2 linked regions of the Astyanax mexicanus genome follow. The protein of the gene in region 2 interacts with the protein of the main gene of each other region in a pairwise test. Links are inferred from orthologs where the notes say so. Each region holds a gene or a part of one and is shown on either strand. Other genes may lie near its edges. The genes, in order: sox14 and naif1.

Region 1 (3,927 bases), on a different chromosome or scaffold from region 2:
ACAAATTGTCATTTATACCATTATTTTAAGAAATAATTGGATGACGTAATTTTATTTAAAACATTTTTATATTAAAACATAAGTTACTTTGAGTATATTGAACTATGTTGTATTAGCACAATTTGCCGATTTATAACCTTACACGTATCCAAACTCGCTCTTGAATGAATTTGTCACCAAAATATTAACCTCCCGTAAAAGTTCAACATACCAAACGATATTAAATTATTTTTGAAGACAGATTGTCTTTATTCAAAACGTCTTTGCTCTGCAAATGAACAAAGAATCGAGGTATCCCCCTTCTGATACAGTTTCCTTTTCCATAACATTACATCAGATTAAGATTTAAAAAATCATCATTGTAATAATAATAATCATAATAATAATGAGCACGACATTAACTGCTTCGCTTCAGACTTTCACTTCTTTCTCAAATGAAATGAACGTGGGACAAGCACTGAACCACAAGATCAAATAAAAACAAAAAACAAAAATACTGAAATAATATTTTTTTTCAACTTGAAGTTTCAACAGCCTGTCTAATCTCACGTGTGTGCCTATAAACCCGTATCTTCATTAAAACTCAAAGAAATGTCCTAATTTAGATCCAAATTTCAGAAAATATCAGTACATCGTTCAGAAGAGATCTAAAGAAGAAACATGGAGAGACATGAAGGCTAAACATTACTTGTGCAAACCCAAATTCGCCTTTTTTAAATAACAGCAATAATATTAATCATAGTCGAAAAAACAAACCAAAAATATCCTTATTATAATAGCATCAAAATGTACATAATAAATAAAGCTAAAGGCCTCCTTTTTATGCGTTTTTCTTTTTTCTCTCGTTGTTGTTCGGTAGCCGTTAATAAAGGTTAATAACATTTACAAAGTTCTTACAGTCACCTGCTCTCAGCTCTCTCAACTCCATGCAGAAGGTCCCGGAGCGTCCTGGAGGAAACGATAATAAAAAACGAAAAATAATATATATACACACCAAAAAAAAATCTGAACTCCAAGATTTTTCTCCAGTCCGATCAGACCTCCGTCAATGTTTTTGAGTTCGCTTCTGTCTCTGTTAATTATTTATTATTTTTATTTTAATAATGGAGCAGTTTTATGTACATGCCACTGCATTCAAGTTTCTGGGGAGGCGGAAAAGTGTCCGTTTAATCTTTTTATTGTTTTCATTTTCGTTTTTGGAAGAAATTGTTGTTTTTCCTCCTTTCGAGAAGAAACGAAAAAAAGTCTTTTTTTCCTCCTCCAGTTGTTGCAATTTTTCCCTTTGCTTTGTAGAAGAAACTTCCTTTAATTTTTTAACGGATAAAAATGTCATTTCTCCCACTGTTTTTTTTTTAACAATTGTCAGCATACCCATCTTCTAGTCAAGAACAAACTGTCAGTTTCCTCTTCTTTTATAAATAGGCTATATGTTTATGACCTCGTATATTACCACCCGTTTTCTCTACATGGCCGTGGCGTGCGCAGAGGGGTAGGGGTCAAGCCCACTCTTGCCCATACCGGGAAACAGGATGTAGGCGACCGGCGGCTGGAGCGCTCCTCCCGCGGACCACGCGCAATTGCAGGGCACCACGTAGCCCGGGTTGGTCGGGGACGGGTGCGTGTGCGTGGCGGCGTGCGGTCCTGCCGCGTGCTGCGACTGCTGCGTCTGCTGCTGAGTCTGCTGGGCCGCCTGGTGGCTGGCGAACGCGCCGGTGCTCTGGTGGTAGCCGAGCGAGGACGCGTAGGGCAGGGAACTGAGCGAGCTCAAGGCGTACGGGGTCATGTCGCCGGCCAGCTTGCTCATGCTGCTCGCGCCGAACTGGCCGGGGTCGAGGAGTGAGTAGGGCGATGTGACGGCTGAGGGGGGCAGGAAGGCTCGCGCCGCTGCCGCCTTCTCCAGAGCGTGATCGGCGACACTGGTGGGTACCGGAAGTGCCGCCTTCAGGTGTTCGGCGTCCGCCAGGTAAGGCAGAGGGAAGACGTAGCGCTCCTTCTTCAGGAGGTTTTTGGGCTTGCGCCTCGGCCTGTACTTGTAGTCCGGGTGCTCCTTCATGTGCTGCGCGCGGAGCCGCTTGGCCTCGTCGATGTAGGGCCGTTTCTCGGACTCCGTGAGCAGCTTCCACTCGGCGCCCAGCCGCTTGCTGATCTCAGAGTTGTGCATCTTCGGATTCTCCTGAGCCATCTTCCTTCTTTGCCCACGCGACCACACCATGAACGCGTTCATGGGTCTCTTGATGTGATCGACCGGCTTGGACATGGTGATGTCTGCGTCGGCGGCGGCAGGGGATGAGGTGGCGGCAGGGGAGCGCGGGCTCCCGCCCAAATAACGGTGCAAATAATAATTAGTAATAATTACGGTGAATATAACAACGCGCGCGTGTGTGAATGTTCAGCCGTGTTGGCAGAAGATGAAGACGGCGATCATGCCACTTCACGCGCTCAGAAAAAGAGCATGAGTGCCGAACCAAACATCCGAAATGTTCTTTCAGAGAAATACTTTCAGAAAAAAAAGTTGCTTAAAGTTATGTTCTCGTCCTCTTCTTCTGCACTTAAGCTTCAGACAGAGGGAGAAATAGAAAGAGAGAAAAATAGAGAGAGAGAGTGAGGGAGAGTGACAGAAAGAGAGAGAGAGAAAGAAGGAGAGAGAGTCCAAAAATCCACTCAGGTGAGGCAACAGCAGCAAAAGAAGCTCCGAAAAAGTGAAACAGCTCCCCACTCTAAACGCGCGCGCGAGCGTGTGTGTGTACGAGTGAGTATGTGTGTGTGTGCGCGCGCGAGTGTGTGTATCTCAGTGTGTGTGTTTTTCCTGCTCTCGCTGAAGCACCTGGCTGTGAATGAGCGCCAGAACGCGGCGGAGCTTCAAACGCGCCGAAGCCGCTTTGGTGTGTGAGCACGGTGTTGGGGAGGGGGCGGGGCCAGGAGACTTAAGCGACCAATCAAAGGAGAGAACAGGAAGCAGAATACCTTCGGAAAAAAAAATAAAAAAAGAAAAGAAAAAAATGTATAGGGATATTACCAAGGCAAATAAAGATAGGGGAGGGATCCGCCCGCGCCCTCACGCGCATACACACCCAGACACACACCTGAAACATTTCCCCAGCATGAATAAATAAAAACAACAACAACAAATCTAAAAAAATAACAGATGTTAATAAATTTGTTAGACAGATGATTTAATTTCGGCATGTGTGTTAATATTAATTGATTAATTAATTGGTTGCAATAAAAAAACAAACAAACAAACAAAAAAAAAAAATATATATATATATATATATATATATTAATTTATATACTGAAAAAATACATCCAATTTTTGTATATGTATATGTTTTAAGCATTTTTCGTATTATTGCCAGATGGTATTATACCATTATACTTTTTTACAATAGTAAAAAAATATATAATTGATTCTTAATTTATAATTTGCACGTTTTTTTACAAAGGCACTGGTACCGTTTAAAAAAAATCGAGACAGCTGATAATTTCAAAGTACTGTTTTTTATTATTGTATTCCTATTTTATTAACGTCTTTACACATATTTTCAGCACTTCTATGAAATGTCGCTTGTGCATTTACTCCACGAATTTACAGCCGGATGTGTTAAAATTTCTTTAAAATCACATGTAATTGTAACCCCATTAGAACGGTCTTCAAACATATATATAAGGCAATGAAGTGAAGAGTCCCTGGGGTCGCTGTCTGAGAAAGAGCCCTCGGGACAATATTTATTAATATTTATTAAAGCGGAATGATAGTCTAGATCTCCCGTGAGACACGGAAAGGGCTGGGTTGGGATTTAGGGTTGGGTTTAAAATTGGTGTTGGTCTTAGTGTTGGGTTTATAAATGAGTTTGCTTATGCGTTGTGATTTTAGGTCTGGATTCGTATTATTTGAGATTTGAGGTTTTCAGAACAGTCGGTTTCCGA
Region 2 (3,927 bases):
CACCCTGGTAGAGTTCCAACATCGTGGCATTCAGGAGTAAAGGTTGTTTTATAGATGACAGTTTAAAGAGGCTGTGCCAACTGTTAAACGATGGCACTGGTTACCTTTGTCTGGACTTTTCCTGAAATCAACAAGTGCTCAAGAACACCAGGGTGAAAATGCGGGAAAATATAATAAATACAAAACTATATATACTATAGTTTTCGCTTTAACAGCGTCAAGTCTTCTGAAAAAGTTGGGACAATAAACAATTAACATTTGTCATTCATTTTTTTGTTATTTAAATGTGGTTCCAAGCTATGGCAATTGAATTGTAATATATATATCCATTATATATAAGTCCAAAAAGTATACAGTTATACAAGTATGCCCATGTTTTGGGAGTTTGACAAGAATGTAACACCTAAAATAATTCTATTACATTTGTTGTTCTATGGCGCCACCATGTGGACGTTGTTTTTAAACTGCACTGTATGAAAAAAATGATAAACTGGAGGATTTTTAAAGTGTATTATTTCAATGTTAAAATATCCACATAAGGCCCCTTTATAGTGACAAAATAAATGATTATGCACAATGCAATTTTTGTTTTTCTTTTTATGGAAATATATGTATTGATATTTTTAAAAGAACACAAAATATGTCGTTCCAAATTATTATACAGAATACAGGTTTTTAAAACATTTATTGGGTCATAAAAACAATGTTAATAATGAACAAAAATGTAGCCAAATCTATATTCTCCCAGCTGGCATTTTAACGTTGAATCAACATTGATATTAATATCGAATCAACGTTGGATTTAAAAAGTGAATGACAGGGGTTCTAAACTGCTCTCAGCCCGGGACCCTCATTTTCTTATAGTCATTAAGTCCCAACCCACTTTTATAGAATACAAACAAAATTATTTATATAAAAACACATTATAACATACGTAGGCTAAGTGAATTTGTATTTAATGTATACAATTTACTACAATAAAATAAAATATAAAAAGCCACAAAATATTAAATATTTAAAAAATTAGATATTTCACTTCACTGTATTCAGAGAACATTAGTAGGAAAAATATATTTTTTTCTCTTTTTTCCCCCCAATATAAAAGATGAGTACAAAATCAGATGATCATTAATTATTGTTTTTAATTTTTGGATCCAGACCCTCTATCAGTACTGTTGTGTTATTATTATAATTATTGTGTTATTATGGTTATTGTGTTATTATGGTGCTTCGTCGCCTTGCGTAGTAAACCGCCGGAGTGTGTTAAGAGTGACGGGTTGTTCAGCCAATAGGGAGGGATCTCGTCACGCTCGCCAAACGCCACAGCCAATAACAAACCACGTTTCTAAAGTGGGCGGGCTTTCGGCCATTACGGACGCAAGCGTTGTTGTTGGAAGAAGAAGTCGATTCAGGAAGCCATTACGCTGCGCAGCTCCGCCGCGGAAAACACGTACTGTTTTTGCGTACGGTACGCACTTTTTTTACTTTCCTTAAGTCCTAATTAAAGATTATTAATGGCCTCTCAGGCGAAGAAGCGGAAGATGAACTTCTCGGAGCGCGAGGTGGAGATTATAGTGGAGGAGATGGAGAAGCAGAAGCACGTGCTGGTTAATCACTTTAACGCCGGCGTTTCTCACATCGCGAAAAACGGAGCCTGGCTCGAGATCCTGAAGCGCGTGAACGCCGTGACCAACTGCCAGCGCGAGCTCGCGGAGGTGAAGAAGAAGTGGTCGGATCTGAAGACGGAGGTCCGGCGGAAAGTGGCGCAGGCGCGCGCGGCCATGGAGGGCACGGAGGACTGCGGCACGGTGCCCGTGATCCTCACCGCCATGCAGCAGCGGATCTGTAACCTGCTCGGGGAGGCGACGATCATCAGCCTGCCCGCCGGAGAACCGGGAGACCCGCCGGCCGAGATGACCGTGCCCGTTCCCATCAGTTCCGCCGCCGCCGTCACTCTGACGCAAAGTAAGATAACAGCGTTACCGCGCGCGATTTAACCGAGACTGAAAAAAAAAAAACACAGAGCGTGACGTTATAACCCTGACATAGCTATATAACTATATATATGTGTATATATATATATATACTACTGCATCTAAAAAAATTATAATATAAAAATTATTTAATTAAAAAAAAGTTAACGTTACTTTATTTCAGTAATTCAGATCAAAATTCTAAATATGAAACTCATATATTATATAGATGTATTGTACATAATAGTCATCTATTTTAAGCGTTTATTTCTTTTATTGTTGATGATTATAATTATTATGGATTATAGCCAATAAAAAAAAAACCAAAACAGTGTTTCAGAAAGGAATTAGAATATTATAATATATATATTATGTATATTATAAGACCAATTAGTACTTTTTTCCAGTGTGGGCAGTGTGCCAAGTCCTGCTGGAAAATGAAATCCGCATCTCCATAAAAAAATTATTTATATATAATAAACGTTAGCAGAGAGAAGCATGAAGTGCTGTAAGCCATGTCATCTGCTGGTGTTGATCCACTGTGTTTTATTATCAAATCTTACAGCTTCCCTCTGCTGACAACAACTTCTTTTATGGAGATGAGGATTTCATTTTCCAGCAGGACTTGGCACACTGCACACACTGCCCACACTGGAAAAAAAAGTACCTGTAACTGGTCTTATAATATAATTATAGTATTCAAATTTTCTGAAACACTGATTTTTGTGTTTTTATTAATATTATTAATAATAATGATCTAAACAATAATAAAAAGAACAGAATTAGTAGTCATATAGCGTACTGGACTATATATAAAAACAATATCAATAGCATTAGTGTAGAGATGTTTTCTCTGTACCAACAGGTATCCAACCAGCAGCCGGAACAGCTTGTGAAATTAAAACATTAGACGGTAAGTCGTCTTTGTCATTTTTGCCAAATACTGCAAAACTGCAAATAAACAGGTTGGACTCTGGTTATAAAAACTGTTTAGATTAACTGGTTATCTTATTTTGTGTTTGTTGTTTGTGTGTTTCTGTGTTTCTGTGTTGGGGTTCAGCAGCTGAGACGACGTATCACACGCTGGAGGAGGGAATGGTGGAGTACTGCACCACGGAAACCCCCGTCACGGTCACCACAGAAGCCCCGGTGGAGATGCTGGCGGCTCAGGCAGATAACTCCGTAAAACCACAGGAGCTGAAGAGCCGCATCGCCCTGAACTCGGCCAAACTGCTGCAGGAGCAGCGCATCACCAACCTGCACGTCCGAGAGATCGCCCAGCACCTGGAGAACCAGAACGACCTGCTGCAGATGATCCGCCGCTCGCAGGAGGCGCAGGCCTGCGCCCAGGAGAGACAGGCCCAGGCGCTGGAGGGCACGCAGGCGGCGCTGCTGGCGCTGATTCAGATGTTCAGACCGGCACTGAAGGACCTGAGGAAGTTCCTGCAGAGCGCCAACAGTGCGGGAGCCGGAGTCGAGGCCGGAGAGGGAGGGGGGAACGTGACGCAGCAGCCGGATGACGGACAGTAGACTGGACTGAGTTCTCTGATGTAAATGAATGAATGAATTAATGGAGTGTGTTTGTGTTTGTTGGAGAATGCTTGAACCTGTAAGTTATTTTGTTCCTGAGAGAATGTGAGAGAGTGTGTGTGTAAATGTGTGTGAGAGTGTGTGAGAGTGTGTGTGAAAGTGTGTGTTAAGTTATGCAGGTAAATAGTGCCTCATCAGTCGAGTGCTCGTCTGTGTGTGGAGACTGAAGACTGTACGTGACTGCTGAAACCTGTAGCCAGGAGTCGGGCTTTTATTATAATTTTACATGCGTGGCCAGAATTAATTTCACACAAATCTGTCTGTACAGAAGAGCAATTGCATTTTATTATTATTGTTATTGTTATTTTTATATTGGAAATATGATAGTTTAGTTTATTTCACTATGTGGTGCTTTAAAAATCTC

The links.
Region 1: the proteins of naif1 (region 2) and sox14 interact in binary tests that used the Homo sapiens proteins (3 or more experiments, as listed by UniProt). The two-hybrid records come from large-scale screens. The link is inferred for Astyanax mexicanus from reciprocal best matches to the Homo sapiens genes NAIF1 and SOX14.

Annotation. Positions count from the first base shown.
Region 1 is NC_064412.1:49,528,959-49,532,885, reverse strand, and holds sox14 (transcription factor Sox-14), read right to left. Parts: upstream 2,877-3,927; 5' UTR 2,258-2,876; coding exon 1,463-2,257; 3' UTR 226-1,462; downstream 1-225. UniProt on the Homo sapiens protein: Acts as a negative regulator of transcription.
Region 2 is NC_064419.1:331,034-334,960, forward strand, and holds the start of naif1 (nuclear apoptosis-inducing factor 1), read left to right. Parts: upstream 1-1,384; 5' UTR 1,385-1,514; coding exon 1,515-1,965; intron 1,966-2,838; coding exon 2,839-2,886; intron 2,887-3,033; coding exon 3,034-3,503; 3' UTR 3,504-3,927. UniProt on the Homo sapiens protein: Induces apoptosis.